2 linked regions of the Callithrix jacchus genome follow. The protein of the gene in region 1 interacts with the protein of each later gene in a pairwise test. Links are inferred from orthologs where the notes say so. Each region holds a gene or a part of one and is shown in the gene's direction. Other genes may lie near its edges.

Evidence for each region.
Region 2: the proteins of ABL1 (region 1) and MSH5 interact in binary tests that used the Homo sapiens proteins (3 or more experiments, as listed by UniProt). The link is inferred for Callithrix jacchus from reciprocal best matches to the Homo sapiens genes ABL1 and MSH5.

What each region holds. Positions count from the first base shown.
Region 1 is NC_133502.1:179,533,160-179,536,760, forward strand, and holds the end of ABL1 (tyrosine-protein kinase ABL1), read left to right. Parts: coding exon 1-1,043; 3' UTR 1,044-3,006; downstream 3,007-3,601. UniProt on the Homo sapiens protein: Non-receptor tyrosine-protein kinase that plays a role in many key processes linked to cell growth and survival such as cytoskeleton remodeling in response to extracellular stimuli, cell motility and adhesion, receptor endocytosis, autophagy, DNA damage response and apoptosis.
Region 2 is NC_133505.1:39,266,017-39,268,923, forward strand, and holds part of MSH5 (mutS protein homolog 5), read left to right. Parts: intron 1-416; coding exon 417-545; intron 546-831; coding exon 832-904; intron 905-1,049; coding exon 1,050-1,159; intron 1,160-1,377; coding exon 1,378-1,458; intron 1,459-1,704; coding exon 1,705-1,792; intron 1,793-2,067; coding exon 2,068-2,257; intron 2,258-2,367; coding exon 2,368-2,494; intron 2,495-2,907.

The sequences.
Region 1 (3,601 bases):
CCAGGCTGGTGAAAAAGAATGAGGAAGCTGCTGATGAGGTCTTCAAAGACATCATGGAGTCTAGCCCAGGCTCCAGCCCGCCCAGCCTGACTCCAAAACTCCTCCGTCGGCAGGCCATGATGGCCCCTGCCTCGGGCCTCCCCAACAAGGAAGAAGCTGGGAAGGGCGGTGCCTTAGGGACCCCTGCTGTAGCTGAGCCAGTGCCCCCCACCAGCAAAGCGGGCTCAGGTGTACCAGCAGGCACCAGCAAGGGTCCCACCGAGGAGTCCAGAGTGAGGAGGCACAAGCACTCCTCTGAGTCACCAGGCAGGGACAAGGGGAAATTGTCCAGGCTCAAACCTGCCCCGCCGCCCCCACCAGCAGCCTCTGCAGGGAAGGCTGGAGGAAAGCCCTCACAGAGCCCGAGCCAGGAGGCGGCCGGGGAGGCAGGCCTGGGAGCAAAGACAAAAGCCACAAGTCTGGCTGATGCTGTGAACAGTGACGCTGCCAAGCCCAGCCAGCTGGGAGAGGGCTTCAAAAAGCCAGTACTCCCAGCCACTCCAAAGCCACAGTCCACCAAGCCATCGGGGACCCCCGTCAGCCCAGCCCCCATTCCCTCCACGTTGCCATCAGCATCCTCGGCCCTGGCTGGGGACCAGCCATCTTCCACTGCCTTCATCCCTCTCATATCAACCCGCGTGTCTCTTCGGAAAACCCGCCAGCCTCCAGAGCGGATCGCCAGCGGCACCATCACCAAGGGCGTGGTCCTGGACAGCACCGAGGCGCTGTGCCTCGCCATCTCTAGGAACTCTGAGCAGATGGCCAGCCACAGCGCGGTCCTGGAGGCCGGCAAAAACCTCTACACGTTCTGCGTGAGCTACGTGGATTCCATCCAGCAAATGAGGAACAAGTTTGCCTTCCGAGAGGCCATCAACAAACTGGAGAATAATCTCCGGGAGCTTCAGATCTGCCCGGCGACAGCAGGCAGTGGTCCGGCAGCCACTCAGGACTTCAGCAAGCTCCTCAGTTCAGTGAAGGAAATCAGCGACATAGTGCAGAGGTAGCAGCAGCCAGGTGTTTGGTGTCAGGCCCACCAGAGCTGCCTGCGGGTCCACCCGTACCTGTGACAGTGGCTGACAAGGGACCAGTGAGTCAGCACCTTGGCCCTGGAGCTCTATGCCAGGCAGAGCCCAGGGCCCTGTGGAGTCCAGCTCTACTACCTACATTTGCACCGACTGCCCTCCTGCACCTTCCTCCTCCCTGCCCGGGCACCCTGCTCCGTCTCTGTCCTCGAGTTTTATCTGTGGAGTTCCCGCTCCGTGGACTACAGTTGGCATGCTGGGGCCCGCCAGCCTCGCTCCTGCTTAGCGCTCCAGGCTCTCCAGGCCAGGTGGGAATGGCTGATTTGGAGTGTCCTTTTCGTTTTCTCCCTGGAGCCCCTCTTCCCCTGGCTGGGCCTTTTCCTTCCACTTCTCCAAGAACGGAAGCCTGACTGAGGCCTGTGCATCAGGCCCTCTGCCTGCACTTCCTGGCCTTGCCCCTCCTGTGCTGAAGACATGCTTCAAGAACCACATTTCGGGAAAAGCACACACGGCCATGCACATGGCTGGTCACTCTGCCCTCTGCTGCTGCCCGGGGCGGGATGCGCTCAACACTTCCTCACGTGCAGGACGGCTCTTGATTTGGGTGGAAATCGGTGCTAAAGCCAACCAGCCTTTTGGGTCCTGGGCAGGTGGGAGCTGAAAAGGATGGAGGCACCAGCCGTGTCCTTTTTGTCTGTCCTCTCCACATCCCTGGAGCCCAGCTCTTGCTCTCTCGTGACGTGCACTGTGAATCCTGGCAAGAAAGCTTGAGTCTCAAGGGTCCAGGTCACTGTTACTGCCAACATCCCTCCCCAGCAGAAGGGAGGCAGTGGTAGTTGGGTGAACAGCTGGTGCCAGATAGCCCCAGACTGGGCCAGGAAGGTCTGCAGGGGCCCAGAGTGAACCTTCCTTTCACACATCTGGGTGCCCTGAAAGGGCCAATCCCCTTCCTGCTCCTCTAACATAAGGGAGATTCTTACAAGGCCCATTCCTTTGGAACAAGACAGTCTTCACTTTTCTGAGTTCTTGAAGCATTTCAAATCCCTGCCTCTGTGTAGCCACTCTGAGAGAACAGAGCTGCCACCGGGCACTTGCACACACGCAGGAGGAAAGGCCCTGACCAGTCCCGGCCGCACTCTTGAACTGGGCGAGTATCTTATTTAATTACCATGAGTGACATAGCCTCATGTTCTATGGGGTTCATCAGGGAGTGTTAGGAAAACCACAAATGAAGCCCCTGAAGGCATCGAGTGTTTCACAGAGCACGCCTGGCATCTTCTCCCCGAGGCTGCCCCAGGCTGGAGCCCAGGTATGGGGGCTGTGACTCTGGGCAGGGACCTGGGGTCTCCTGGACCTTGACAGAGCAGCTAACTCCAAGAGCAGTGGGCAGGTGGCTGCGCCCCGGTCTCCACAATGGGAGAACCAGGAGGAGCCGCCTTCCCGCCCCTGTGCTGCCTCGTGCCGCCAGCCTCACACGGGCCCTAGCTTTATGCTCGTCACCTAAACTTGGACTTTATTTTTCTGGTAGAAATGGTTTTCTCTGGATCGTTTTATGCGGTTCTTACAGCACATCACCTCTTTGCCCCCAACGGCTGTGACCCAGCCCAAGGGAGGCATTAGTCACCGACAGCGGCCTTGAAGACAAAGCAAAGCACCCACCCAGGTCCCCCAACCGCCTGTTTCTGTGAGGTACTGGTCCCTTTTTTTTGTTAACGTGATGTGCCACTATATTGTACCCATATCTCTCAGTATGCATCTTTTATAGACGGTCTTTTATCAGTGGCGCGTGCACAGCGCCCACCCTGCTCCCTCGGACGTGTGCAGTGGTTCCTCTGCGTCTCTTGGTCTAGTGCATTTTGTTTCTGTATATGATTCTCTGTGTTTTTTTTGAACCCAAATCTCTCCTCTGTAGTATTTTTTAAATAAATCAGTGTTTACAACATTAGAATCCTTGGCAGATTGCTTCGGCCTGTGATCCTGCCCTGTTGTTCTGAGCCTGTGTGTGTGGGGGCCGGGATGCAGTGGGTTCTGGTGTCCCAATGGGGCTGGAGCCGGTGGCAGGTCTCACAGAGCAACGGTGGCAGGTTGGCCCCAGCTGCCCCAACCCCCTGCGGCCTGGGAGCCCACAACCATTTTTCAGGCACTTGTCCTACTATGCTTGGACGCTTCCTGTACCCTTGGCACTTACCTGCCAGCAGCCCAGCCCTGCCCGAATCACTGGGCATGGGCTGTGCCACCAGCCTGAGGCTGGCTAAGGGCAAATCCCTCCCCACGTGTGCCTGTTCCCTCTCTACGTTTCCACCCTATGCCCCCAGGCGCCCCTCACTCACCTGTTTTTCTCATGCCAGGTGTCTTAGATCTTTGTGTGGACGAGGAGGAGCGGTGGTGTGCTGGCCTTCGGAGCCTGGGAAGGCCATCCCAGACTGAGCCCCACCGCCCTTCCCCAGCTCAGTCCCCACCGAGCTCACAGCTTGGAAAGGGGCATCTGGGAAGTGAGCAGCGCCCTCGGATAATGATACTCATCAGGCCAGCAGGCTTGT
Region 2 (2,907 bases), on another chromosome or scaffold:
CCTGCCTCAGCCTCCTGAGTAGCTGGGATTGCAGGCATATGCCACCATGCCCGGCTGATTTTGTATTTGTAGTAGAGATGGGGTTTTGCCACATTGGCCAGGCTGGTCTCAAACTCCTGACCTCAGGTGATCCTCCCACCTTGGCCTCTCAAAGTGTTGGGATTACAGGTGTGAGCCACCGTGCCTGGCCAGGACCATATTTTAATTGTCTTTGTAGCTGCAGGGTTTAGTACACTGCCTGGCATCGAATTTTACAGATGCCATTTTCTGTCTCACTGTTTCTTTTTGCCTTTGAGATCTTCCGGCTTTGTTCTTGTGATCTTCTCTGCTGGTCTTTGTTCTTCTGAGTTTGTCCCTACCCTCACCTCAGCCCAAGCTGCATATGGGCTGCCCTCCTTGTTGTGTTTCTCTCACAGACGGTGTACAGTGCCTTGGGCCTGAGGGATGCCTGCTGCTCCCTGCCGCAGTCCATCCAGCTCTTTCGGGACATTGCTCAAGAGTTCTCTGATGACCTGCACCACATCGCCAGCCTCATTGGGAAAGTAGTGAGTGGATGGAAAGAGCGAGTGCACCCAGGGAGGTCAGGGAGAGAAAGGAGAGGGACTGGAGCCCAGGGAATGCAGTGTGCGAGATGGGGAAGCATGGGAGTTATTGAAGTCAGTTGGGTAGTTAAAGAATAGGATGGTGAGAGGAGGTGGCAGAAATTCAGGGAAGTAGCTGGAGGGTGAGAGTTAAAGCAGGACTGCAGGGAGAATTGGGGCCCAAGGAGAGCTGAGGAACAGGACAGAGAGGGTACCGGGTGCTAAGAATCAGTACTTCTTACCTCCTCAGGTAGACTTTGAGGGCAGTCTTGCTGAAAATCGCTTCACAGTGCTCCCCAACATAGATCCTGAAATTGATGAGAGTGAGTGTTGGGTGCGGATGGGCCTTTGAGCCCTGCGCAGGGACGGACTACCATCCTTGGCAGGTGGTCACCACAGCTGGGGATCTTCATAGAAACCAGGGCAGGAGCCTCACTTTTGATAACCACATGTCTTCCACCCTCGTAGAAAAACGAAGATTGATGGGACTTCCCAATTTCCTCACTGAGGTTGCCCGCAAGGAGCTGGAGAATCTGGACTCCCGTATTCCTTCATGCAGTGTCATCTATATCCCTCTGGTGAGGGTAGGAGAGTGGGTGTAGCCTTCAGAGGTCTTTTGGGGGAGATAGGCTTATGAAAGACACACTGGTAGATAAGAAAACTTATGGGGCAGCCTGAAGAACATGAATACCTTTTTGTGGGGATACAGTGATCTCTTAAGCTTCCTCTAGGGAGAGGAGGTGTCCAGTAAGTCTCCAAGCAGGAGAGTAGGGTATCTCCTCTTTACTCTCCCCAGATCGGCTTCCTTCTTTGTATTCCTCGCCTGTCTTCCATGGTAGAGGCCAGTGACTTTGAGATTGACGGACTGGACTTCATGGTAAGACCCTCAACCTTTGTAGGTGAGTGATGAGGAAAATGAGTCAGCAGCTGAGGAAGGGCCTTACCCCGTAGCAGCACTGCCCAGTATGGGCTCTCTCCTCTGTAGTTTTACTCTGAGCTTTACCAGCACTGAGGCAAAGGAAAGAGAAGTCAGGGTTAGGGGCTGGAGGTGAGGTTAGGAAGGTGAGGAAGAGGAGGAGGACCAAGAGATGCAAAGCCCACAGTTTTGAACCCCTGTACCCAGTTTCTCTCAGAGGAGAAGCTTCACTATCGTAGTGCCCGAACCAAGGAGCTGGATGCATTGCTGGGGGACCTGCACTGCGAGATCCGGGGTGAGGAGGAGCCAGAGGTTATGTGCATTGTAAGATGTTTTTAAAAAAGCAGCAGCCAGGGGCAGGAGGAGAGTGGGCAACTTGGGAATGTTTCCAACAGGCCCCTTCTCTTCCTACTCTGTCTCTCTCACTCTGACTCTGTGTCTTTTCCTCTGAATGTCTTCAGGTCTCAGATTTTATCTGCATACCTGTTTCCAGATCCCTCTAGGGGCCTCTGCCTCTCCTTCACTTTCCCCTGGAGCTGACCTCCAGCTCCCTCCCTCACCCCCTCTCAGACCAGGAGACGCTGCTGATGTACCAGTTGCAGTGCCAGGTGCTAGCACGAGCAGCTGTCTTAACCCGAGTATTAGACCTTGCCTCCCGCCTGGACGTCCTGCTGGCTCTTGCCAGTGCTGCCCGGGACTATGGCTACTCAAGGCCCCGTTACTCCCCACAAGTCCTTGGGGTACGAATCCAGAATGGCAGGTAAGAATAGAGGTGGAAGAATAAACATGAGGGGTCCAAAGGCTCCATCTTCTGGGGGTTCATCCATTTGGATCCACAAGCTATGTGAGGTGCCTCTCCACCCACTGCAGACATCCTCTGATGGAACTCTGTGCCCGAACCTTTGTGCCCAACTCCACAGAATGTGGTGGGGACAAAGGAAGAGTCAAAGTCATCACTGGACCCAACTCATCAGGGAAGAGCATATACCTCAAACAGGTGAGGAGAAGCCCTACAGCCTGAGCCTCTGGCATCTTCTGCATCTTCTCCACCCCTATTTGCCACCCAACCCAGGCTCCTGCAGCTCTTTTCCCCCATTTTCTGACCCCGCCCTTCATGAAAGGACCATGTGCTTCCATCTCACATGTTCTCATTCTCTATTAGAAAGCCATGCTCTAATGGAACTTTCCATGGCTCAAATTCCTCCACCCGCCTCTGAGTATGTACACACCACTTCCAAGTATGTCTCTGCCCATGTCCCATGCCTCTTTACTGATCCTAAATTAGCCAATGGGGCTATGATCAGGATTGGGGGAGGAGAGACAGTCAGTGTATTCTTTACCTTTTTCTCCTGTTTCACTCTCTCTCTCTTTGATCTGTCATTCATGCCTTGAGCCTCTCTTTCACCTCAG